7 linked regions of the Coturnix japonica genome follow. The protein of the gene in region 3 binds, or shares a complex with, the protein of the main gene of each other region. Links are inferred from orthologs where the notes say so. Each region holds a gene or a part of one and is shown on either strand. Other genes may lie near its edges. The genes, in order: THOC2, ALYREF, CHTOP, THOC5, THOC7, SARNP and THOC3.

Region 1 (3,500 bases), on a different chromosome or scaffold from region 3:
TCTTTTGGACCAATGAAATCAGAGCAGATCCCTACTTCAAAAGTCTCAAAGGTAACCTGACAACTTTTAGTCAAATGTTCATGCAAAAAACAAAAACTCTTCACTATAGTTTTCATAATGAAGCCCCACACAAATTTGTTGCAACCATACAGATGATTGTTAATTATTAACTAAATAATCTGGCTTCTTTGAGCAGAAAGCACCAGAAAGGTTCTGAAGTCACAGAATAGTACAGTGAGCCAGTTCTGCTGGAGCTGTTTGATCCAGAAAATCAGGTTACTGCAGTCATCAGTAACACTTGTGGTATCACATTTCTATGTCTCAGCAGTAATAAAAATTAATCCCATCACCAGAGTCAGTGTCCCAAGAACTACGCTTGTCAGGGCAAGCTTAAAGGAGGCTGTGTACAGCAGCACAGTACACAACTGAAGGTGGAGAGTTAGAAAAAAAAAATCACAGAAATGCAGATCACTGCAAGGCTTTGAAATGTGAATGTAGTTTGTATGACTGCTGACCACTTTCCCTTAGAAGTTTAGCTGTCTTAGAATAAATCAGAAGGAAAAAAAAAAAACCACTTGAAAATAATCCTCAGGTCTAGGAGAGAGAGAACTTCATTTGTGGAACAGGAAGCATAAAAGGGACCTTCTCACTTCCACAATAGATTTTAAAATTAAATGCAAGTAATGACTTCGTTGAGATTGCTTTTGGAAAGGAAAGAGGATACTAATTTTATGTGCTTATAACAATACATACACAGAGAGCTTTCAATACTTACTCTATCATAACAGAGAAGTGTGGAGAAGTTGGGTGTTTTCTGCTGATGAACCAGTTCTACAAAGTGAGCACAATAAACCGCATCTATTGCCGAAAAAATGCAGCGAGGAAATATACATAACTGCAAAAACTTTGTGATAGTCTCATTTTTGGTAGACTCTGCAAAAGCAAAGAAATAGAAGAAAAAAGTTAGTACATTAATGGGTAAGCAATTAAACTACTACTCCCCAAAAATTCAGTATTTCATATCATATTCTCCAGTTTGTAATCCTGACATATCTTTGACACTACTCAAAGTCAAAATAAGCTTTTTAATCTTTGAGGAACAGGCAAAATGGTAGAAATATTCTAGCAGACCTTTATTTCTTACAGCAAAAAATCTTTTGTTACAATGGAAAAAAGCTCAGAAAAATTACCATAAACTCCTTCAATTACTGAGATTCTGCATACTGCTCCTCATCACTGTGCTCAAAGTTAACTCTAATCACTCACTGGCTGTTCACATTTCTATGACCTGCAATACAGCAACTGATGTGCAAACCCTCTTGTAACTATCACCTCACATCAAATCCGTCCTGCTCTTATTTTCTAAGTCAGTACAATATTAAAAGGCCTTGCCATTGCAAGAAGCAAATAAAACATCTCCCTAAAAGGAACTACTCAGCATTTACAAAGACACACTACATTCAAATTAGAAGTTACTTCATGGCAGAACTGAACTTTTAGTTCTGGGGACAGCAACAACTACATACACACACTTACTTGCCAGAAGCCAGTTATCCTTCTCTAATTTCAGTCTCTGTAAAACTCTTTGAACGTGCTCTAGCTGTTTCTTCTCCTCTTCAAGGAGCTTGTCCTGAAGAGCAGTGCAACGTTCTTTTTCTTTTTTCTTTTTATTTGGAGGCTGTAAAATGTCAATGCAATTCATTTAATATACTTACACTAATACTACTTACACTAGGTACAGAGCAATTAAATGTCTGGTAATGCTGAGAAATATGTGAAAAGCTATTTCTCTAAATAGCATTCAGCTCTAATTGTGAGCTGATTCATTAACAATGGATAACTAATGATGTTAAGTGAACAGCCAAAGTACAGATACAGATGTGACAAGACTTATCTGAAAGACAAGATTTTCCACTAATTTTTATTTAATGGAGCCACTGGTAGTTTTGAAGCTGGAATTGTAAGGAAGTCTAAAGCATGTAACCATGAGAAATCGGAATGGATGAATCAGCTGACACAAACCTCTATCAACAGACCAATTTATTCAGTTAACACAGGTTTAACTTTGGTTGGCTTAACCCGAAAATATGATTACATAAAACAGATGAAACTCCAAGTAAATGACTAACTCAGAGTAGAACTTTGTCATCCTGTCATGCACTACAAGTCAGCAGTTCATTTTTCATAGATTTCTACCAAAATAAATGCCTACCTACCACCATGGAGTCTACTTTACTCTACAAAAGAGAGCAATATTTAAAATGCAAATTATGCATAGATAACTTGCAGTTGCAGGAAAGGTTTCATCTCTGCTGGGAGACAACCAGTAATGCTATCAGTGATATCAGTGTGTGAAGATAACTCCCTTCCTTAGCACAAAGGAAAACTTATATCTTAATGTAGGATTTAATGAAAAGTGAAACCGGAGCAAAAGAAGAGAAATCACAAACATACCATTTCCTGATTGTCATCTATGGCTTTCATCTGGACTTTAAGTTTATTGACTTCTCTGTCATAGCTGCTGTGTGGGACAGCAAGGTCATACATAGTCAGAGACCAGAATGTGGCATAAAACTGAGGACTGATGTCATCCCAAACCTTGGGAGGGTGCAGAGAGATCACAGCTTCATGAACGGGAGCCATCACCAGTTCACATGCTGTAATGTATTTGTGAACTTTGTGTTGCTGTTTATTTCCCTTTTCAGCTTTTTTAAGTTCATCATACTTGGACTGGGGAAAAAAAAAAATGAAAAAAGAAAACAAAAGTTTGTTACCTCCATATGTGAACCAAATTTAATTCAGCTTCTCAGAAAATTTTCTATGAAAATCATCTTTACAAAACAAAATTTATATACAATTTTATGTATACTTTTAGTATGCATCCATGCTGCATATCATCCTCACTGATGCTATCATCTTTCAGCTCACTACTTCTTACAGCAAGGTATTATATTATGCTGAAAAACTGTTTTCAATACTTTTTTTAGTTGCAGGGACAAATTTATCTTGCCTCTTCCTTTTATACCTCACCTTTTGACAGCTGCAGCATTTCTCTCCACAGCAAGAAACATCTAAAATAGCCACAAAAAACTACATATTTGGGGAAATCTGGGTGGGAGAACTCTTGATCACCCAAATTATCAAAAGAGTTGAAATCATTAGCTACAACTGCTATCACTTGTGCAAAAGCTGGCACATGGCCTATATTTTCCCTATGAAGATAAAGCAGAATCTCTTCCAAACCACAGCTTCTGGTTCTACCTCAACTGTTCAAAAAAGCACCTAGAACTCTTATTCAGTAGACAATCTGTGCAGGATCCCAACACAATTATAACATGTAAATGGGCATCTCGTAACAGTAGACAGAAATGAAACGAGTTCTACTTACTGAAATTTGGTGCGCATACATGGGTCTTGAAAGGAAAAATGCAGCATCATGAGGCGTGTGAAACTCATTACAAAGAACATCAATTGAAGGCACTCGCTTAATGTAATCCTCT
Region 2 (2,118 bases), on a different chromosome or scaffold from region 3:
AGATGTGCATTTTGAAAGGAAAGCAGATGCTCTGAAAGCTATGAAGCAGTACAATGGAGTCCCCTTGGATGGTGAGTCTCTGTGGCTGTCGTGTGCTTCTCTGCACGGCTGATGGCATCTGTGTGCCTGCCACACTCACAGGGTAACTGGCTGCTTTTCCTGCAGGGCGCCCCATGAACATTCAGCTGGTTACATCACAGATAGATACACAGAGGAGACCAGCACAGAGGTGAGAAGCCGCGGGAGTCGCTGTGCCAGTCAGCACGGGGAGTGAACTGGCCTGTGTAGGAAGCATGGAATCCTCCTCGTGTCCTGCAACCTTCTGAGTGCCTGTTGGGGTTAACCAGAATGCACTATAACAGTTGCTTTTTAAAAATCACAGTGTAAACAGAGGTGGAATGACCAGAAACCGTGGTGGTACAGGAGGATTTGGTGGTGGAGGTACCAGGCGAGGTAGTCGTGGTGGGAGCAGAGGGAGAGGCAGAGGGGCTGGAAGAACTTCCAAACAGCAGCTCTCTGCAGAAGAACTAGATGCACAGCTGGATGCTTACAATGCCAGGGTAAGTGCTGCTCACATGATGGTCACGGGTACCTACAGCGTCCTTTTGATAAACACTGGCAGCTGGCTGGAAAGAGAAATTGTTTTTCAGGTCATTTGACTTAAATAGCCTCCCTCTAAAGCTGAGCATTGCCCTGTTCCTTCAGCTGCCTTAGCTCTCCACATCTACTGTTACTCATGAGTAATAAATAGCCCCTTTTCCAACTTCTCCTGGCTTGTTGAAGCCTGTGTCAACCAGAATTGGCAGTAATCAAGATGTGTGATGAACGAAAGCTATGAACCAAAGCCCAAAGGGATAATAGGCTGGAAAAATGAAAAGCAAAAAGAAAAAACACATAAAATAACCAGCTTGGTGCTAAGAAAGGAAAAAAAGTCAATGATGCTGATCACCCCTAATGCAGGTGGATGAGCAGAGCAGTGCACATGGTTTCTTTCATTCAGAATGAGCTCAGATATTGTGCCACAACAAGACTAAAGTCTTAACTGAGAATCAGTTAAGAAGTGATGCAGGGACTTGGCCCAAGCACTGAGGTGCAGTTTAGGTCTGCTCAGTGTGTGCTGTGGATTGGGCTGCATCTCCGCCATTGAGGCAGCAGCATCCTGGGGTTGGCAGGCAGGGCTGGGGGGTGTCAGGGTTGGGGATGGAGCTGGGGGGTTGTGGGGCCATGGTGGGTTGTGGGGTCATGGTGGGTTATGGGGCCGTGGTGGGTTATGGGGCCATGGTGGGTTATGGGGTCATGGTGGCTGCTGACGCTCCTCTCTGTTCTCTTCCAGATGGACACCAGCTAAAGCGTTGAGCGGCGCATGGAAGGACTGCAGACATCTCATTCCATGCTGTGTGGCGGGAGGGGTGTGCGACTGTGGCTACTAATATCAAGGATGGGATTTGTTTTACTTTTATGTTTTGGAATAGGTTTTAAACTCATGTAAAGGTTTTTTTTAATTCTGAAGCCAGACCCGTTTTGTACCGAGTTATTTTTGGGATAAATTTTACTGGTTGCCTGTTGGGCCGAGGTGGCTTTTTCACCTTTGCCGTAATAAAATAGAACCGTGTCTAGAGCTCCGCCTGCTCCCTGCCGCGCGCTCCTTTCCCGCGCCCGCGCTGCGCGGCGAACGCGCGCGTACTCCCTGAGCCAATCAGAACGCAGCGTCGAGGCAGGAAGTGAGGAGCGGGACACGCCCTCGTATAACGGGAAGTGACGGGCGTGTCCCGGAAGTGCGGGGGTGCGCGGGCGGCTGGGCGGATCCCGGCGGCGTTGGACCGCGGCGCGGACGGTGAGAGCGGCCGGGACGGCGGGACCGGGCGGGGCGGGGCCAAGGGAGCGGGGCGGGGGGCGCCGGGATCCGCCATGTGCGCTGCGGCCGGGCCGGGTCCCGCGGGCTCAGCGCCACGCCAGGGTCCGGGGCGCGGCCGAGGGGGCAGCGGGCGCCGTCCGGGTGCGCGGCGGGGAGCGGAGCGAAGAGCGGCGCCTTCGTGCCTTGAGGCCGCCCCGGCCGCCGCTGTCGGACCGGAGCCGGGTGGGGACCCGCTGGCTTCAAATAGATTCTCCATAAATGGT
Region 3 (3,146 bases):
TGATGCTGTGTGACTTGAGCTGGTTAATATCACTGAGTTAATTTCTTTGCTGGCTGTTGATATCTCCTCTCTATTTTTTCAGAGATATGTTGGTCATTCTGGGGTTCTGGATCTGCTGAGTGCTTCATCTCTCAATGTAGCTGCAGTAACACTTGCAGATTGCTCCCAGCCCTTAGAGCCCACTGCTCCCATCCCCACCTCCACCCCCTGGTGGTGCAGCTGGCTGCGAGGACCCAGATGAACCAAACTGATAACATGGAGGCTTGCAAATGCCAGGCTGCAGGCCTGGGTTTAAGGAATAGCATTACGTTTTCCTTGTGCAAGTGTCTTAATCCCTCGTCTCAGTGGGGAACGCTGCAGGTTGTGGAGTGTTTGTTGAATTAACCCCATATGAAGTGGGGATAGCTTTGAATTCTCTGCTCCCCCACAGCTATATCAAGGGGTTGGCATGGTCTGCTCGTTGTCAGGCTGTTCCAAGCTTTAATTGAGATGAGGAAGTTGGAGAGATGGACTTCAATGTGTTACTTCACATGCAGGGAGAGCCCTGGGAAGCTCTGAGCTGCTTCACATAGCTGGAATGCTTGAACCTCACTTAATCTCTGATAAGAAGGAAGGCAGCTGTGCATTTGATTGCCTTCCATTTCCAGCACTGCAGACAGCTGGGAGCCCTCTGCTTTCAGAACACAACCCCCAACCTTTTCTCACTTAAGTGCCAATAAGGAACTGCTTTGCTTTCCTTGCCGTCCCCAGATTGCTGCATGACTTTCTTGTTGTTTAACAATCTATTCCAGAAGAGCTTGAAGCAACGCCTCGGGAAAAGCAACATCCAAGCACGACTGGGCCGCCCTGCAGGCCCCATTGCACGCGGAGCTATGGGGGGAAGAGGACTCGCTATGGGGCAGAGAGGTTTGCCACGAGGAGCCATGCGTGGGGGCCGGGGAGGCAGAGCTCTGCTGAGAGGAGGGCTCCCATTGCGAGGTCAGTGCTGGGATATGGGGGGGTTTCTGGGTTCTGTTGTGTCATATTGTACTGCAGCCTTTTGTAATGGGGTGTGAGAAGTGATGGGTGCTGTTGCTGTGTTGCAGGTCAGGGCCTGCTGCGGGGAGGCCGAGGAATGGCCCCCAGGATGGGGCTGAGAAGAGGAGGGCTGCGGGGCCGCGGGGGGCCGGGCAGAGGTGCTATGGGGCGAGGAGCCATGGGGCGAGGAGGACTCGGCGCCAGAGGTCAGTGGGCAACAACCCCAGCAGCTTGAAACAAGCATCAGCTCTCACCCTATTGCACTGCTCACTTAGAGCTGCTTGACCCTAAATGCTTCGCCAGGCCTCGTGCCTAACCCAGATCCCTCGCCGTGGTGTTGCTTATATGGGGTTCTGGGATCTGCCCCAGCAGATGTGCAGTGCTTCGAATGGGAGCACAGGGCTTGTTTGTGCTGTTTCCATGCTTGAATAATGCATGGGCTGCGTAAAGCAGGGCTGGGGGGGTCAGCTCAGTGCTGTCTCCTGGGGTAGCAGCTAAATAGGAGGTGTTTCCCCATATAAGTCAGCAATTAATGCCTCCTAAATAGGAGGTATTTCCCCATATAAGTCAGCCCTTAATGCCTCCTAAAGGTGAGAGCTGTGGATGGGGGTATCCCAAAGCCTGACATCCTACACACAGCACAGGGCTTGGAACTAAATGATGTGGGCACAAAGAGAGCTGGGGGGGCACAGCAGATCCCAAACCCTATAGGGCTGAAACCAAAGCAAGGCAGGGAATGGGGGGCTGTGGGGAAGGAATTGGGGGGCTGTGGGGCTGGAATTGGGGGGCTGTGGGGGTGGAATTGGGGGGCTGTGGGGGTGGAATGGGGGCTGTGGGGCTGGATTTGGGGTTATGGGGTGGGCTGTGGGGGTGGAATGGGGGGCTGTGGGTTGGAATGGGGGTTATGGGGTGGGCTGTGGGAGTGGAATGGGGGGCAGCAGGGGAATGGGAGCTGTGGGTCTGGAATGGGGGCTGTGGGGGTGGAATGGGGGGCTGTGAAGTGGGTTGTGGGGTGGAATGGGGGTTATGAGGTGGACTGTGGGGTGGAATGGGGGCTATGGGGTGGGTTGTGGGGTGGGCTGTGGGGCTATGGGGTGGGCTGTGGGGCAGCAAGTCTCTACCCAGCCCCCCACCCACATCCCTTAACCCTCGTGCTGTCTCTCTAAGGCCGTGGCATGGCAGGTCGGGGAAGGGGCGGCTTCGGAGGCCGCGGCAGAGGACGAGGCCGAGGCAGAGGATCAACCCGACCTGCACTGACCAAGGAACAGCTGGACAACCAGTTGGATGCTTACATGTCCAAAACTAAAGGACACCTGGACGCCGAGCTGGACGCCTACATGGCACAGACAGACCCCGAAAGCAACGACTGAAGGGCTGATTGCACTGACTGCTGTGGAAGGTGGGGTGTTATCCCATCCCCTAAGGAACGAACCCCCCCATTGAGGCTGGGAGGACCCACGGGAGCAGGGGGGGCTGCCCCGTTGTACCAGAACTTGAGTACGTTTTCCTTGCCTGGTTTTTGTTTTGATACTCTTTTAATTTTTTAATGTTGGCGTGAAAACCCTTTTTTTGGGATTATTATCTATTATTTACTCTCCTACCTTAAAAGTGTTCTGAATGAGAATCTGACAGCTGTGATACAGTCCATCCTATGGGCCTGCAGTCCACCCTATGGGGCCGTGGTCTGTCTATAGGGCCGCAGTCCATCCTATGGGGCCGCAGTCCATCCTATGGGGCCTGCAGACCATCCTATGGGGCCGTGGTCCATCTATGGGGCCATGGTCTGTCTATGGGGCCTGCAGTCCATCCTATGGGGCCTGCAGTCCATCCTATGGGGCCGCGGTCCATCCTATGGGGCCTGCAGCACATCCTATGGGGCCGCAGTCCATCTATAGGGCCGCAGTCCATCTGTGGTGCCTGCAGTCCATCTATGGGGCTGTGTTTTGGGATGGGAATCGACCCCCCCCCATTCACTTGTATTGAGCCCATGGAGCTCAGAGCCCACAGCTCAGCTCTCAATGCTTTTCCTTACCGCCCCCTCCCCATCCCAATGCTGCTGGGGGGGGTTGTTATGGGGTTTTTCTGCCCCCCCCCAACCCGGTTCGGTTCTGTTCTGTGAGCTCCTCCAT
Region 4 (3,984 bases), on a different chromosome or scaffold from region 3:
CAGTGTTTTATTGTGCAGCTCAATTGAACTTTTCTTCACCTTCTACACAGCTTGCAATGAACAAGAAGTACTGAGGAGAATCCTAAAAGAAATCCCCAGGTTGAGCAGTCTTCTGCAAGCTTCTGCAGCACCTCTTATTAGTCTGCTATTCTGGGCTGTGTTGTTCCTATAGCATCTACTGGCAGCTTAGACCGATCCTTCTGCTGGATGCTACAAAGAATTATGGTATGTCTGTTCTTTTGCCTGGCCCTGAGTCAGCTGAGGGATGATGGGGATCAGATCCTGCATTGGGATGGTGCCACAAGCAGATGAACCAAGACACTCAAACTCATTCTTCACACCACAGCACAGCAGACAAAACAGACATTGCTTTGTTCTACATGGCTCATCTTGCAGAACAGGGTCCTGGATCGAAGTGCATGGCTGCCCATCCTTAAATATCACCGCCACGCTGGTGAAGGCCTTGTTCCCTGCTGCAACAGTCTCTGAGCAGACACACTGGTCACACCAGAAGGAGTGGGCACGTGTGGATTTATTGGATGGCTAAAATACCTCTGCTGTCATAACCCAAGGGGTGAATCTTCATAACAAGGACACAGTCACACAATAAATCTGACACTTCCTCCACAGGGATCATTTTGAAATGCTGTAAAAACCTTTATCTTTGGTGTCTGCTTCGCCAAGGGGCTGCACAGCCTGGGCTGTCTGTAGGGAGCACTGTTCTGCAGCTCAGAAAGGGGGATGTGGAATGGACCCACCTCTTACGCTGCTCCAGTTCCCAGTCCAGGCGGGCGAGGGTCTGCTGGTGGGGTTCTGTCAGGGTGATGTCAGGTCGGCTGATTTCGGTGGGAGCTTCACTGTAAAACTCCTCCAGGCTCACCAGTTCGATCTCCTCATGCTTCGATCTGCAGAGACAGAACACCTGGATCAGGGAAGGGTGGCAAACACACACAGTCACTCCTTTTCCTTCCCAGCCAAACTCACTTGAACTCCAAGCACTTGGTGATCTCTTTCTGTAGGTGCATCACCTCGTAAAGCAAATTCTGGAGCTGCAGGTGATAGGCATCAACCTTCTGCTTTGCCTAAAACACAGACACAGCCAGTGACCACAGCTGGATGGGACATATGCATCTGACTCACTGCCACGTGAGATGGGAGAAGATGGTCCTCTTTTGTAAGATATTGCAATTACTACCCCTGCCTTCCTGCAGAAAAGCCTCCTAGCAAACCTCTAGCACAGAAAGCACCACCTGGCTGACGTTTGGTTCTGCACATGCACACACAGGCAGCAGAAACTGCAGCATCTCTGCTCTTTAAAACCATGTCCTGTGCTCAGTGCCCACTCCGTACCTCATGGGTCTGATCTCGTCCCTTCTTCAGCCGAATGTGAGCCAGCCGGTTGAGCTTCTTCAGGGTCATGAAGTGCACACAGCTCTGAACGCGTCGCTCGTCTATCTCAGAGGCCTAAGAGGCAGGAAGGAAATGGCTGAAGCAGCACAGAATCACCCTGCACAGAGCTCCTGCTGCAGCCTTTTCTTTGAGCACTGAGACAAGCGGGGCCCTGTGCTCCTCTGCAGGGCAGTGCTGATGTTACTGGGGTTCCTGAGGAGCATCACGTTGCTGGACACAACTAGAGGGCTTTATAGTATCCACAGGAACTCAGTTCTGCCCCCGGGAGTCCCAGCCCATGGGCACACGTCCCAGCCATGCCTTGGAGGTCAGTAACTCTGAGCAATGACTGCTCAAAGACCACACTCCTCAGCTACATCATACTTCATTTTATTTAAGACAGACTGTTCCGTTTTCCTCATTTTCCCCAGAACGTGGCACGGCTGCTGCTCCTTTCAAATTACATGATAAATAAGAGATCGCATTAAACCAAGCACTCGGGGCTCTCCTTACATTGTCCTTGACGCCTCTGCTCTTCAGCTCCTGGATTTCTGCCATGAGTCTCTGTAGCTCCTGGCACGTCTCTTTGTAGAGCTCATAGTCCTTGATGGGGTCCCGCAGATCCACCTCACACTCCTCACTGTAGTACTGAGCATCCTGCAAAGGGCAAAAAGTACCCGCACTGCTCGCTCCCATATGTTCACAAACAATAGGAAACACACGGCTGGGGTGTAATGCTGCATTCTTTGCAGCATTAGCCTGAGATTTCATACATTGAATGGCAGCTCAGTAACCAAACCAGGACACAAACACCTGGAAAGCAGAGGCTGCCTGTTCATGTAGTTATTGTGAATGTGAAGGGTTGCCTGAGCTGACGCAGTGTGGAAGCCCCGTGATCTGAAGGTCTGAGCCCTCACCGTGCTCCGCGGTAATGCAGGCATCCTGAAGGCCCATGCAGCCTCCTGCTGAGCACCGCGTGTCCTCACCGAGCCGGCACCGCAGCGGGGCGGTCCCAGCGGGTCGGCTGGGACCCAGCACTGTTCGGCACATCCTCATTCCCGGCCACCCTTTACCTGCTCTCCATCCTTGCCCCGCTTGCCCTCCTGCGGGCCCCCGTCCGTTCGGATCACCTTAGGCTTCCTCTTCTTGCTGGACTCCGAGGACATGGCGCTGCGGGGACCAGGCCGCCCCTCTTCAAGCGGGCCCAGGCGAGGCCTCCAGCACTTCTACCTCACCGGGGCACCACGTTCCGGCCCTTCAGCTCCAGGTACCCGCTCCCGACCACCGGGACCCCCCCGGGAGCTCCGTCCGTGTTCACTCAGGACCCCCCGAACGAACCGCACGAGCTGTGGTGCAGCCCCGCGCCCACCCCGCCGCCCGCCTCAGCGCACCCCGGAAGTGACGTCGCGGAGCAGACGAGTGCGGCCCATCGATGCGGTGACAGCGCCCCCTGCTCTCGGAGGACTGGAGCTGCAGTGGGCGTGGCCTGTAAAGGGGGCGTGGCCTGTAAAGGGGGCGTGGCCTGCACGGTGTCCCCTATAGCACCAGGGATATTGTGGAGGGTCTCAGCGTTAAGGCCCACTCATGTATTAGGGTCCCTATGTCCCGAATGCTCCCTATTCCCCAGACACAGACGCTGGCAATTAAATATTTAATTGGCGACACCCCCCCCCCACAGCCCGGCGGGGACAGGCACCCGACGAGCAGCTCGTTAGCGGTAATTATGAGCAGCCCCCAGCCCAGCTCTCAGGAGGATTCTGAGGGCTTGTCCTTTGCATGGAGGGCAATGGCAACATGGGGCACACCTGCAGGTCCCCACAAATAGGGGGGAGAAGAGCCCAGGGGGGTCAGAGTCTCAACCTTCATCCCCCTCAGTCCCCCCTCAATGGGAGGAGATGCCCCCAGCACTTCCCAGCAGAGCTGGGGCAGGCAGCACGTGTCCCATCTCACTGCAGCGGGGAGATCTTCAGGGGGATCATGATCCGGGACTCCATCGTCCGAATCAGCGGCACTGCAAAACACAGCGGGGTCAGCTCACAGCTCACAGCACAGCAGGGGCAGCCCCAGCCCCGTGTGCTCACCCGTGTAATAGACGTTCTCATCCCAGCCCCGCTTCCTCCACGCTGCGTTCCTTGTCTCCTCACGGGACTGCAGGTCCTTGTAGGCTGCAGGGGGGGAAACCTCGTTCTTAACCCCCCTGCAACCCCCAGGGAATGGTGTGTGGGGTTTGGGGTGCACAAGGTGATGGTAGTGCCAGGGTGGGGTAGGTGAGATGAGCCCGCTTACCCCAGAGGTGGTGCACGACGTACAGCTCCCCGATCTGAGAGAAGAAGCCACCCACTGCCTCCTGGTTCTCCTGGCGGTACTTTATGGCCCGAGCCCTGGCAGAACAGAGAGAAACACTGAGCTGCTGCTCAGCTCTAATGTCCCCATGCTAAGGATGGCCAAGGCTTCATCTGTGCCACCACCACAGGAACAAGGATGCAGGAGTGGGTCCAAGGGCCAGCATCACTTGGCCATATGCAGAACAGCAGCTGGATAAAGCAGCCACTCACCAGTTATTGCCCCACTCGATCATGGTCCCTGGCTGCAAAC
Region 5 (3,961 bases), on a different chromosome or scaffold from region 3:
ACATTCAGATGGAAAACGTGGGCAGAACATCTTCAAAAGCAAACACTTCAGATCCGTGCTTGTGAAGATTTAAGTACTCTACTTTCCTACTGCTTAAGGCTTTTTTCAGTCTCTAATAATAGAGTCTAACATTATCCACAAATCATATGTGCATGTGTTTTTAAAGGTTTTAAAACCTTTCACCTGTTACAGCTGGTCTTTCTTTCTTTCTTTTCAACTATTTTTACATTTCACTTTTTAGGAAGCAAAATTTTACCTTCCCAATTGCTAAATTTTGATAAGACTTACAGGGCAATGTTTTAAATTTCAACTAAAAATATCAGTATGTCTTTTAAGGATAAGGAACAGATGTCTGTAATACCTGGTTTAGAGGTATTTTGCAAGGCCATGTAAAATGAGTATGCAACTGGTACAACTGTTCTTGTATTAGGTACTACTTTTCCTTCTAAAGAGCTGAAGGAATATACTTATATAACTTTCAGTGTTGGTTGTAAGCTTATTTAACTCTTTTGTCTTGCTGCTACTAATGTGCTTTAGTTCTTAAGCCAACTGAATTGTCAAAGGATGCTTGGGAGGGTTTCTTTGGCTTGAGAACACCTCTGAGCTACTCTCTAAGTTCTCCTCATGTTACATCACTAAGATTTACTGCCTTAACCTCAACAACCAAACTTTCAGCAGTCTGTGTGGAACCTACCAGATAATGCTCTATGTAGCATCGATGGAGAGCATTTTCTTCTGAGTTTTCAAGAAATATGTCATCTGTTTTCCAGTACAATGTATTTTAAAAGATAACACATTAATAAAACCACCCAGTGTAGATAATGCTGCTTACCCTGGCGATTCTTTCTAATTCTTTTTGCTTGCAGGATTTGTTTCTTGCATTCAGAAATCTTCTCGTGTGCTGCAGCTATACTATTTTCTTTAACAGAAAGACACAAATCAAACAACAAACGCCATCAATCCATTCAGCTAAATCATCACAAACAGCACTTTGTATTTTATACTGCCTGCTATCTCCACGGGCTTCAAAACCATCTATGCCTTGACAGACTAAAAACATATTTTACTTATACACATTTTACACACTGACAAAACACGAGGGCAAGTATGAGTGGTATTAAAATAGTTTTTCTGTCACCCATCTCATGTTTACATTTTGTTTATCAGAACTGACTTGAGTTTCTTTATGAAAGAGAAATTCAAATAAGCATAGAATATTTTTTTTCTCATTTTTTACCTATATCCTTGTAGATCTTTTCATAATTTTCCATCTCTCTCAGGTTCATGTCATACACCAGAAGAGTTTTTCCCATTGAAAATTCACACTGCGATAAAGTACTCAGCATTCGTTGGTACTGACTGTAACTGAAAGCAAACAAGACATTTATTCCTCAGCAGCATGAAAATACCTGCCTGTTTTTATATCACGAGGAAAATGAAGCCTCAGGTAATGTACGGAACAGTTAAAACAGCAATTACTAAAGCAATAAAGGACTTCAAAGATTCAGTGCACAACTGCAAAAAGTACAGTTAAAAATGAATGCTGCACCGATTAATTTTATCATCATAAAGGTATAAAGCAGCATTACAGCATGGGCAGATTGCTCCAGGGATGATACTCTTCCCAACTAGAGCCAGCTCTGTGCCCACCACGATTAATATTTTAACACTCCAGTGCTTCTCTGTGCACAGCATCATCACAGAGTGCCCTCCTGCACTCCAGCATCGGCACAGACCCTACTGCAGAACAACATGTTGCTTAACCTTTAGTTCTTTGGCCTGTTTGTTTTCTTCTTTCTTTTCAGGGCAGTACAGCAGAAGCAGCACAGCCCCCACCTAACAGAACAAATGCAGAGCCACCAAATGGAACACTCAAGTCGTGATCCTGCTGTAATAATGGGACTGCTGAATCGTGAAGCAACGTGCCAACCTCCAGAGCCTTCGCTGTTAGATTTCAGGATGGTTTGCTCTGTAATTTTTGACCCATCTCCAGTGCATGTTTCTTGCCACAGCTCCTGGGCTTTGTCCAGAGAACCACACAGGGCTGAACATAGCAGAGATCATAGAATGGCTATGAATAGGACTGTAATGATCATCTAGTTTCAACCCCCTCCTGTGTGCAAGGTTGCCAACCACCGGAGCCCAGAGCCACATCCAGCCCAAATGGATGCATTTTAACACAGTTTACTTTCTTTGTCTAAACAGATGCTCAGTTTTATGCTCAACTGCAAAGCAATGAGGTTTCAAGACTTAAAAACAGCCAACAAATACCCTTCCTCCTGAGATCCAGAGTTACACCACTTGATGAAACTCTTCACCAGCAGATTGATCCGCCTGTCGTCCCCAGCTCCGTCTCCATCAATGAGAAGCCGTTTGCGGATAACTTCATCTGTGGGAAAAAAAACAACTCGTGTTTAGCGCTCCGTGCTGGAAGCGTGTGGCACGGCAGGAGCTCACCCAGCAGAATGTGGGTGAAATAAAACGCGTTCAATACGCGGGGCCTGGGATCGGCAGGGAGGCTGGGCCCGAGAGGCCCGATGGAGCCCCAGGCCCCGGCACTGAGCGCAGCGGAGCGGCCTGGAAGCGCTCCATGCGGGGTGAGGCCGCCGCGCAGGGGTGCGTGGCTTCCCCGGGGTGAGAAACCCGGAGCGGGGACAGCGAGAGGGAGGGCAGGAGGGAGGAGGTCTCACCGTCGGTCACGGCCCCCATGGCGGCGAGCGGCGGAGCCGGCGGGGCGGCGGCAGCAGCGAGTGAGGTCAGCTTCCCACAATGCAGCCGGAGAGAGCGGCGGCCATGGAGGGGGAGGCGGCGGCGGCGGCTGGGGCCTGAGCCGGCTGGCGGCGAACGCGCGGCCCATCGGCGGGGAGGGCCGGCCGGGAGGCCCGCACCCCGCGCGGAACCGGCCCCCTGGCGAGGGGCGGCCCCGCCAGGTGAGAGGCCGACGGGGGAGGGAAGCGGAGGTCCCCGCGCCCGCAGCCAGGCTCCACCTCCCAACCACCGCGCCCACGACCCCGCCGCCCCCCTCCTGGGCCGCCCCGCCATGCCCTCGGCACATGGCCCTCGCCCTTCGACGCCTGGCATCGAGGCGTGGGGCCGGCGCTGTGGGCTGAGGGGAGATGGGCTGAGCGCCTCGGGTCACGCTTGGGATGAGTCCCTGGTGTGTGGCTTGACACAAGAGGCTGAGCATTGGGGCAAGGGAAGGATGTGGAATGTTGTTCCTGAGGTGTTTCCTGGGGTGCTGTGCTGTGGGTGGTAACCAGAGCGGGTTGTTCCTATATGGAAAAGTGAACCGGTGCTGGGGTGTGCCGGGAGAAAAGAGGTATTAAGCTGTTGGATGAGATCAAGTGTTGGGTTTTCGCCTTTTGGACCAAAATGTTGACACCTGTGCCATGCTAAAGTTGATAATGTTACTTTAAGATACATTGGTACAATAATGATATGTGAGATGCATGTCCAGGCCCTGACATCTTGGCATTACCTTCTCCTCTTGGTTGGACACTAAGTACATGCAGACTCATTCTGCTTGTTGCTGTGTATTAAGAGAAAATGGGTGTAAGGAAGAAAGAACCGTGTCAGCATGTAGTGTCATCTCCATCTTCCTGGTTTTAGAGCCCTGAGTGACGACGGGTTCTTTTGTTCTGGATAGAGATGTATAACAGGGGTTTACATATTACTAGATTGTTGCAAGCCAGCACTTTGACTTGTGAAGTGGCACCTGGTAGGTTCTTTGCGAGGCACTATTGGGAAGGGCTACAGAGAGTGGTCATTAAAGCTCCATCTGGATTGAAGGTATTTCCAGTGTAGAAAAACTGGGTAAATATGCTGCTTTCTTGATATTTTTATGTATCTCTGCGTGATTTGTGAGTGATATAATTTGATGTGAAAAGTGGCGCTTTCCTACCCTACTTAGATCTCCTATCTTCAGCATCTTGGAGCATCCTGGTCTTATCAACACTTAATA
Region 6 (3,973 bases), on a different chromosome or scaffold from region 3:
AGTTCATGGGACAGCCCCAGGCAGCTCTCCCCAGGTCAGCACCAACGTCCTGGGCTCAGGCTCCATTTCAAACACACACTTCCTGAACAATGTGCAGCTGACAACAGCAGGACCAGTAAAAAGAGCGAACAAAAATATAATGGAGTGGGCGTGCTCTAAAGTTTATGCTCAGAAAACAGAGCTTGGGCTCGAGGGGAGGGGGGGGAAAAAACAAAGGAGGAAGAGACAAAGTTCGGAAGTTCCCAGGCTAAATGAAATAGCATCATCCTCCTCTAAAAAACTCCCATAAAACAGTAGGTCACAGCCAGCCTCATTAAGGTCTCCCATTTAGAAAAACGCGCTGCTTTTGTTCCAGATTCCTGGACAGGTTTCTCATTTTATGCCCTGAAAGGTAGTAATGGTTTAATGACACTTTCACAGGAAGCAATTTGGCTGGGGCCAGGCGCTCTCCCCGCTCTGAGGGCTCCCACACAGCTCCCCCCCAGCAAAGCCATCAGGCCACAGAACTCCAGCTCCCCTTACTGCAGCCCCTCCAGCCACAGGATGGGCTCACAGAGCCTTAAAAAGAGCCTGCAAGCATTAGGGGCAGGCAGAGCTCTCCCCTGCCATGCATCTCTTGTGTTACAGCATCCCCCACAAGTTTTGCTTTGGATTAAGTAGAAAGGGATAGTTACACATCAGGCGTTTTTACAGGAGGCTCTTCTACTTTGGCGGGTGGCTCTGCTGGTTTCTGCTCTTCTTCCTGCAAAGCAACGAGTTGGGAGGAGGTCAGAGAGCAACTCAGCAAGAGCAAAACATCACAATAAGGGCAGCAATGGCTCTTCTGGGTCCTCAGAGGCAACATGCCTGTAGTACAGCCTGAACATACCCATAAGTATCTGAATTTCATGCTAGAGCAGCTGGTGAGACCACACATCACCAGGGAACCCAAGCAGCTGCGTCTCCCCATGCTGCTGTCTCCTACTTGTGTGCTTGAAATCTCCTCCTCCCCAATGGGGTCTGACTCTGCTCAATAATGCAGGGTATGAGCAACCTTATGGACAGGAATTGCTTGTTCTTCTCTTTTTTACCCCCCAAAGCCTTACCCAACAGTTTGGGATTCACAGGCTTAGGAAATTATCCCAACTGAGACATTCTCAGGCCTGCAAGTAAAGAGCATCAGAAGCACACAGTGCTCACGCTCAGTGTCAGACACTCATCCAATGAGGTCCACTTCAATTCTCCCACCAAGAACTTCATAGACAACTGGGGAGAGCTCCCATGCACCACATATGTCCCTGCAGAGATGTGTGCTGAGCAGCAGAGCTGCTTTCTGCTCGTGTTTTAAGCTGGGATATCTGTACGTCCCAGAACATAAAGGTCCAATTCTGAGGCTCAGTCCCCTCCTGCAGCTCTGCCCACTATCAGGGCACCAGTTTGTTGTTAGGGATTCCTTACCAGAAGCACAACAAACCCCAATAGATTTGCTGTTAACAAACACACAACAACAGCACGTTTCCTGCTGAAAAGAGGCAGAATTCCCCCTCCTAAAACACCAGCCACGTATCGTGACCACGAGCTCATACAGAAACCACCGTGCACTCATTCATTCTCCATGCAAACACAGCAGCACTGAGCCCCCAGCACCAAAACTGGCCGATTCAGATCCAACAGTGCTCAGCACAGCCCCAAGCCCAGCACAGCCCCAAGCACAGCAGAGCCTCAAACTCAGCACAGCCCCAAGCCCAGCACAGCCCCAAGCCCAACAGATCTCCTGCACTGCTGCTGCTCATTGCACTGCTCTGGCCCATCAATGCCCAACACAGCCACCCAGAGGCCGCACACCGCCAACACAACATCCCATCCCTCAGCTTTACCTCTATTTCTTCCCCCAGAACATCCTCTTCGTTGGCTTCTTCTTCAGCTAAAGAAGAAAAACAGCGGGTCAGTCGCTGATACAAATGACTGAGCGACGCCTTCGGCTTCTCAGATAAAGAAACGATGAATTTCTGATGATGAAACAGGGGATGCTCAGCTCCATTCAACACCCCACACAACAGCCGTTGCCTGAGGGATCTCTTCGCCATTGACAGCATTGAATCTGCCCCCAGGGGGTTGGTTATGAGCGCTGTGACCCGCAGGTACCCGGTACCCACCGTGCTCCTCCAGGTAGGCCTGCAGCCTGTTGATCAGATCCTGTTTGTTGCCCTTCGCCTCCAGCCCGCGGGCGAGACATTCCTGCTTCAGCTCAGCCAACTGATGGGGATGGAGAGGAGCCGGTTAGTAGGAGGGATTCACTCATATCACATATAACACAGCATCAAAGCATCGTATTTTAACAGCCTTTAGAAGGAGCTTTAATGTCTCCCTCCTTCCTTCCTCCTCACTCCCGTTTTAATGCAGCCAGGCCCAGATTCACCCCCTGTTATCTATTGATTTCAGGCCGGGCCTGAGGCCTCGTAACGGGCCCCGAGGCCTCACAGAGCGCGGCCCTATAGACAGAAGGCGGCCCTATATAGAAGGCGATACCGGAGCGCCTCCAAGGCCCAACCTCCCCCATAGCCCCGTTACCGGCAGCATCACCGGGACCTGAGCAAGCCCACACCACAACTCAAGTATAACAAACCCCTCCGTGTGTACAAAGCGATGGCCAAACCGCAAAGCTGCCGTTATGAACGGAGCGGCCTCTACCTTCAACTTGTGGAGCTCCACAGTCTCCGCCGCCATCTTGTCGCCCCCACAGCTCGCTGCCGGCTCCGCCCCCGCCGGCTGCCCAGCGTCCAATCACAACTGAGCTTTCTGAACGGGTGATTTCAACATCGCTCCTTGCGATTGGTTAGCTCCCACCGGCTCCTCATGTTTGCTATTGGTCCACCGGAGGGCGGGGGGTGAGGCGATGTTGAATGACAGGCAAAATGACCAATAGTAGAGGAGAAACTCCACTGAGCAGCCAATGGGAGCAGCGGGTCGGGAGTGAGGTGACTTCCTGGAGACGAGCGGGCCGGGTTTTGACAACGGCATCAACGGAGCTGGAGGGTAAAACGGGCCGGGATCGGAACCGGGACCGGAACCGGGGTCGGAACCGGGATTGAGCGGGGCTGAAGGACCGGGAGGGTGTGATTAAGGCCGGGAGAATGGGGGATTTAGGGTCGGTTTTTGGTTCTGAGGCCTCATTGATGGAGCGAGGACCAGGCCGGGCCCAACAGGCCCAATAGGCCCCATAGGCCCAACAGGCCCAATAGGCCCCATAGGCCCAATAGGCCCCATAGGCCCAATAGGCCCCATAGACCCAATAGGCCCCACAGGCCCAATAGGCCCAATAGGCCCCATAGGCCCAATAGGCTCCATAGGCCCCATAGGCCCAACAGGCCCAATAGGCCGGGCCCAGGCCCAGTGCATGGTGGTGCCACTCCATAGGTTATTATGGGAGGAATCAGGGCTGGAATCGCCTCATGTTCTGGGAATGGTCCATAAAGGGTCCATAAATCGGGCCTTAAGGTGTATTAGGGCCCTAAATCAGCATTGGGTTCTTTGTAGATGAACGTCGGCGTGGCTCACAGCGAGGTGAACCCCAACACGCGGGTGATGAACAGCCGTGGCATCTGGCTGTCCTACATCTTGGCGTTGGCTGCTTCACGTCGTCCTGCTCAGCATCCCCTTCTTCAGCGTCCCCGTGGTGTGGACTCTCACCAACGTCATTCACAACCTGGTGAGTCGCGGGTTGTGCTGGGTCACAGTTTGGTTTATCAGCCGTGTCAGCATCGCTGGGCTGGGTGCTGAGCTTTGTATTCGGGTGTGGGAAGTGCTGGGGCTCAAGGAATGCATCCAGAGCCAGAGTTCTGTGGGGAGTCCATTGCTGACAGGAGCTTCTTGGCCTGGGAAGCAGCTGTGAGAGCGCACAGAGCACGTTTATACCCCACAGCACGGCTCTGCACAGCTCTCCCTGCCTTTCCTCCAGCCCCATTCATGCTACTCTTGCCTTCTCTGTTGCCAA
Region 7 (4,288 bases), on a different chromosome or scaffold from region 3:
CTTTTTACAAATGCTTCTGAGAGCAGCACACGTGGAGCTGAGACAAAGGGGACGGCACTGACAAGCAGGTAAGGAGAGGACCCACATCCTTACCCCATCCTATGCTAACTAAGCACTCTTCCATCCCCGAGCGTGGGGAAGTGTTGTGGCCCCTGGTTCCCTGCCCTGCTGCAGTTCCATTAGGAGTCATTGGGGAGCCCGAAGAGCTTAACAGTGCCTGCTTCTCGGCTGCTGTCGTATTTGCCATCTTTGTCGTCACAGGCGAAGGCCAGCAGAGGCCTCTTCGGGTGCCAGGCCACAGTGAAGGTAGGGGACTCACACTGCACCTCCCAGAGCTTCTCTCCTGCACAGAAAAGGGCCCACATCAGCCTGGAGCCTCCTGCTCTCCACTGCAGGCTGACCCGCAGCACACAACGCAGCTAAACACCTGCCTCTTCCCTCCCACGCAGGGCAGAGGAGGAACAAACGCTGCTTCAGCGCCTTTTAATCGCCTGGTGACAAGGCATGGACATGACACGCATATCGACAGCGGTCTGATGAGGCAGAGGCTCCCCCTCTCGGTGCTCTACTGCACACAGCCAAGCCGTTTCTTCCCGTGCCCTCCCAGCCACACCAGCACACCTCCATCAGCTTCCCTTGTTTCTGTTTCCCAAAAGCAAACCATTACCTGTCTCCACCTCTGCAATGTCAATGAAGTGATCCTCCGACGCCGATGCCAGCATCTTCCCATCATGGCTAAAGCTCAGTGTTCGCACAGGCCAGTCAAGCCTGCAGCATTAGAGCAAAGCTGACAGTGAGTGAACCCCCATGGAGTCACCAGAGAGGGGAGCAAATAGCTCCGACACAGCACTACCTACCTGGAGAAGCACCTCACACACACCAGCTCATCCACATCCCAGAGGCTGACCAGAGCATCAGCACTGCCTGTGGCAAAGTACTTCCCCATGGGATCGAACTTGATGCAGATGCAGTTGGAAGGATGGGCATTGATGGACTGAATGGGTTTCAGTTCTGGGTAGCTGCAGAGATGAAGGGAGAGGGCAGGAAACAGTGAGAGAAGCACAGGGCTGCTGTGCAAGCAGGGCAGGTGTGAGACATGCAGGGACCAGGTGTGAAACAAAACACTGCAGGGTGAGTTTGCTGCCATCACAGTGACTGGGAATCACTGGGATGTGGGACTCTGGTTCCACCAAAGCAGCAGAGTGGTGCAAACTGCCTCCACAAGCAGCGATGCACGAGGGCAGCCAACCCTGGTACCCTGCCCAGCAGCTGCCACAGGCACCCACCTGAGGATGTTGATGCAGCCATTCCCATTAGTGAGGAAGAACATGTTGTTATCGTTGTTCCAGGAGATCTCGTTCACCTCAAACTTGAACTGTTCCTCTGCTTTGGAGCGATGCGTCTTGGCGTCGATGAAGGTGACAACATCATCCTTGTTCCCCACCGCAATGGTCTGCCCGTCAGGGCTCCAACAGATGTTGATGTTCTCCCCTAGAGGGACAGAAAAGCAGCAGGTCCCATTTCCACCCAGCAGTTTGCAAGAGTCACAGTGGCAGGAGGCTTTTGTTTCTGATTTGAGGCCACAGTCTGCTCTGCTAACTCTGAATCACTCCCAGATGGGAAGAACTGCCAGGTCTGCAATTTAACACTGAAACTCTGCACTGAAAATTAAACTGAGAGCTGTAGCTTTGAGCCAATATGACTGCATTGCCATCCCTTCCCTTTAGACACAGTAACCACAAAGCAAGATCAAATCAAAAGACCCTCTTAACCCAGTGATCCCCGATATGCAGAACATCCAACAGTACACGCGTGTGAACAAGGACCAAGCAGTGCTGCAGATATGCCACCTTACAACTCCATTCTCAACCCTGACAGTTGGAAGACTCACATTTCTTAGGCCAGAGGCGGTAGCTGGGCTAATCAACCCATTAATAAGAATGGCTGCTTTATGAATCCATGTAAACTCAGACTTCTGCCACATCTCTCTGCACACACACGTTCCCCAGCCACCAGCCTCTTGCCCATAGATTCCAGACAAGCTCCCGTGACCCTTTAACAGAGTGTGATAGGAAACCAAAAGCAGCAAAGACCTCTCAATGTCAGGGGCCCCACCTTTGGTGTTGACGGTGGCAATGCACTTAGTGGTGCGGACGTCCCAGATGCGGATGGTTTTGTCCCCGGACGCGGTGACGAAGAGGTCGGGGTTGCTGGGATGCCAGCAGAGCTGATCCACGCTGTCACCGTGACCTCGGTAGTTGTTCTCTTTTACCTGGAAAAGGAGGAGAGCCGTAGTCCCATCATCCCTGGAGGTGCCAAAGGCCACGCGTAGGGCCCAGGGCAGCTCGATTGAGGGGGCGTGAGCCACCCATAGCAGGGCTGGGGGGGCTCTTAAGGGTCTTTCCAACACAGCCATGTGTTGGAAGCATTGCAGGGTGGCCGCCCTGCCCAGCACCCCGCTCCCGTTCCGTCTCTCAGTCCCACCCGCTCCCGGCCCGCTCCCCCCGCTCACCAGCCGGTCCTTCTCCAGCAGGAACACGCTGGCTGTCTTATCGAACGATCCCGACGCGAGTCTGCGGCCGCAGCAGCTCCACGCCACGGAGTGAACCTTGGCTCCGTGAGCCGGGAACTCGCGGCTGCGCGTGTTGGCTCGGAACAGCTCCTGCATGGCCTGCACGTACGGAGACAGCGCCATCCCGCCCCAACGCGCCGCCCGCCCCGCCGCCCTGACGCAGCTTCCGCCGGCCCGGCCCTATGAAGCCCCGACCCCCAGCAGAACGGAGGGCGGGGGGTTGCCGGGCATCCGTCGGCCGCTGTTCCGTCACGGCAGTTGGTGCCCGGTAACGAGGGGACGCGGCGGGCAGAGCGGGCATCGGGGCTGCACGGCGCCCTACGAGGGGAGACGGAAGGGCCGCGGGCAGGAAACATGGATTGAAATTGGTTTTCTTTTGCAGGTCTTGACAAAAGGCTCCGTGGTGTCGTAGCTCCAGAGCCGTGCTGCGATGCGATGGATGTGAAGGTAGTGCTGGATACAAGGGGGGGCTGTTAGCGGGGTGCAGGGCCCATGGCCGGGCTCCGGGTTTCTCTAAGGGATCCCCAGTTGAGCAGGGGAGGAGCGAGGCACCCAGCTGTTATCATTGCTGACTGACTGACCCTTTTGTCCCCACAGGAGATCATTGATCTCACCCAGGAGGACTCAAACTCAGAGCCACTGCCATGGAACTACATCCCCATCATTGACCTGACAAAGGAGGACACCTGCAGTCCTCCCCCGGCTGCAGATTGTACTGCCCAGGACCAGCTGTGTGCTCCCCCCATCACACACACGTCTCATCCCCAGCTTTGCTTCAGCACAAAGAAAAATACGGAGACGAACACAGAGCTGAGCCCTGCAGCACCCTTACACGGCTATCCCACATGGCCTGGTACAGACACAGCAGGAAAAACAGACAACAAGAGCAGCTTCTCTCCTGCCTTCAGCCACCACAGCTTCTCCTGCAAGCAAGAACCGAGCTACAGCACCACCACGTATAACACTGACTTGAGTTCCCTGACCAACACACAGCCAGATCAAGTGCTGTTCTCACCACCCCCCCCCATCCTGGACAGTAATGGCAGCACACGCAGCATAGAGGAGAGTCCCCCTCATTTCCAACGAAGGGAGCTCCCTCCAAGACTGAGCCCTGCTCCAGCCAGCGTCACCAAGAGCCCAGGGAAGGTCAAAAGGACTTTTTTGGAAGCAGGTGTCTCACAAGGAGCAATCCGACATGGGACCTCAGCCAGGACTAATTCTGACAGCATGGCCTGGCTGAACAAACTGCGCTATTTCAGAAGGAGCGGAGTCCAGCACCTCTTCTTTCACGGTGCAACATCTGACAGGGGAACACCACAGGTAAATGGGTTCAGAGCAGCTACTGCCCAGCCAGGTCCACTCAGAGCAGGGGAAAAACTTCCAGGGGAAGTTTTGCCAGGCCATTGGGATCTCTGGCTATTGCAATTCTCTTAATGGTGGGCCTCAAATCACTGCTAGGTTCCTCTGTACCGTGGGGGGCTGGCTTTCACCCATTGCCTTACCTTGCACACAGCGGAAACCTGAGCTCATCCCCAGCAGTAAGATGAGCATGGTACGCACCACCATGGAGGAGAACTTCCTGGAGGGAACCTTGCATTTCTTGAGTGACTTCATCTCCAGCCAGCACTGCCCTCCTAAAGAAATCATCTCCCATCTGATCAGACACATCCTGTTGCACACCCACCAGGAGGAGATCCTCCAGAACACCTACACGCT

Evidence for each region.
Region 1: CHTOP (region 3) and THOC2 share a complex: the UniProt entries of both Homo sapiens proteins name them as parts of the transcription/export (TREX) complex. The link is inferred for Coturnix japonica from reciprocal best matches to the Homo sapiens genes CHTOP and THOC2.
Region 2: CHTOP (region 3) and ALYREF share a complex: the UniProt entries of both Homo sapiens proteins name them as parts of the transcription/export (TREX) complex. The link is inferred for Coturnix japonica from reciprocal best matches to the Homo sapiens genes CHTOP and ALYREF.
Region 4: CHTOP (region 3) and THOC5 share a complex: the UniProt entries of both Homo sapiens proteins name them as parts of the transcription/export (TREX) complex. The link is inferred for Coturnix japonica from reciprocal best matches to the Homo sapiens genes CHTOP and THOC5.
Region 5: CHTOP (region 3) and THOC7 share a complex: the UniProt entries of both Homo sapiens proteins name them as parts of the transcription/export (TREX) complex. The link is inferred for Coturnix japonica from reciprocal best matches to the Homo sapiens genes CHTOP and THOC7.
Region 6: CHTOP (region 3) and SARNP share a complex: the UniProt entries of both Homo sapiens proteins name them as parts of the transcription/export (TREX) complex. The link is inferred for Coturnix japonica from reciprocal best matches to the Homo sapiens genes CHTOP and SARNP.
Region 7: CHTOP (region 3) and THOC3 share a complex: the UniProt entries of both Homo sapiens proteins name them as parts of the transcription/export (TREX) complex. The link is inferred for Coturnix japonica from reciprocal best matches to the Homo sapiens genes CHTOP and THOC3.

Annotation. Positions count from the first base shown.
Region 1 is NC_029519.1:14,682,029-14,685,528, reverse strand, and holds part of THOC2 (THO complex subunit 2), read right to left. Parts: coding exon 3,389-3,500; intron 2,731-3,388; coding exon 2,455-2,730; intron 1,679-2,454; coding exon 1,537-1,678; intron 934-1,536; coding exon 776-933; intron 1-775. UniProt on the Homo sapiens protein: Component of the THO subcomplex of the TREX complex which is thought to couple mRNA transcription, processing and nuclear export, and which specifically associates with spliced mRNA and not with unspliced pre-mRNA.
Region 2 is NC_029533.1:4,449,609-4,451,726, forward strand, and holds the end of ALYREF (THO complex subunit 4), read left to right. Parts: coding exon 1-71; intron 72-165; coding exon 166-229; intron 230-382; coding exon 383-560; intron 561-1,333; coding exon 1,334-1,348; 3' UTR 1,349-1,618; downstream 1,619-2,118. UniProt on the Homo sapiens protein: Functions as an mRNA export adapter; component of the transcription/export (TREX) complex which is thought to couple mRNA transcription, processing and nuclear export, and specifically associates with spliced mRNA and not with unspliced pre-mRNA.
Region 3 is NC_029540.1:1,241,118-1,244,263, forward strand, and holds the end of CHTOP (chromatin target of PRMT1 protein), read left to right. Parts: exon of another isoform or gene 1-785; intron 786-791; coding exon 792-978; intron 979-1,085; coding exon 1,086-1,223; intron 1,224-2,184; coding exon 2,185-2,387; 3' UTR 2,388-2,646; downstream 2,647-3,146. UniProt on the Homo sapiens protein: Plays an important role in the ligand-dependent activation of estrogen receptor target genes. May play a role in the silencing of fetal globin genes.
Region 4 is NC_029530.1:9,918,897-9,922,880, reverse strand, and holds the start of THOC5 (THO complex subunit 5 homolog), read right to left. Parts: upstream 2,801-3,984; 5' UTR 2,556-2,800; coding exon 2,463-2,555; intron 2,047-2,462; coding exon 1,903-2,046; intron 1,465-1,902; coding exon 1,351-1,464; intron 1,083-1,350; coding exon 985-1,082; intron 906-984; coding exon 759-905; intron 1-758. Other genes in the region: NIPSNAP1 (protein NipSnap homolog 1), read right to left, coding at 3,336-3,400, 3,471-3,554, 3,676-3,770, 3,945-3,976. UniProt on the Homo sapiens protein: Component of the THO subcomplex of the TREX complex which is thought to couple mRNA transcription, processing and nuclear export, and which specifically associates with spliced mRNA and not with unspliced pre-mRNA.
Region 5 is NC_029527.1:10,990,640-10,994,600, forward strand, and holds the start of THOC7 (THO complex subunit 7 homolog), read right to left. Parts: upstream 2,801-3,961; 5' UTR 2,710-2,800; coding exon 2,691-2,709; intron 2,390-2,690; coding exon 2,272-2,389; intron 1,366-2,271; coding exon 1,238-1,365; intron 920-1,237; coding exon 833-919; intron 1-832. UniProt on the Homo sapiens protein: Component of the THO subcomplex of the TREX complex which is thought to couple mRNA transcription, processing and nuclear export, and which specifically associates with spliced mRNA and not with unspliced pre-mRNA.
Region 6 is NC_029544.1:1,002,719-1,006,691, reverse strand, and holds the start of SARNP (SAP domain-containing ribonucleoprotein), read right to left. Parts: upstream 2,801-3,973; 5' UTR 2,707-2,800; coding exon 2,671-2,706; intron 2,236-2,670; coding exon 2,136-2,235; intron 1,904-2,135; coding exon 1,857-1,903; intron 743-1,856; coding exon 675-742; intron 1-674. UniProt on the Homo sapiens protein: Binds both single-stranded and double-stranded DNA with higher affinity for the single-stranded form. Specifically binds to scaffold/matrix attachment region DNA. Also binds single-stranded RNA. Enhances RNA unwinding activity of DDX39A.
Region 7 is NC_029528.1:12,224,398-12,228,685, reverse strand, and holds the start of THOC3 (THO complex subunit 3), read right to left. Parts: upstream 2,801-4,288; 5' UTR 2,696-2,800; coding exon 2,513-2,695; intron 2,273-2,512; coding exon 2,116-2,272; intron 1,492-2,115; coding exon 1,287-1,491; intron 1,020-1,286; coding exon 858-1,019; intron 769-857; coding exon 668-768; intron 344-667; coding exon 180-343; 3' UTR 1-179. Other genes in the region: SIMC1 (SUMO-interacting motif-containing protein 1), read left to right, coding at 3,008-3,019, 3,170-3,892, 4,086-4,288. UniProt on the Homo sapiens protein: Component of the THO subcomplex of the TREX complex which is thought to couple mRNA transcription, processing and nuclear export, and which specifically associates with spliced mRNA and not with unspliced pre-mRNA.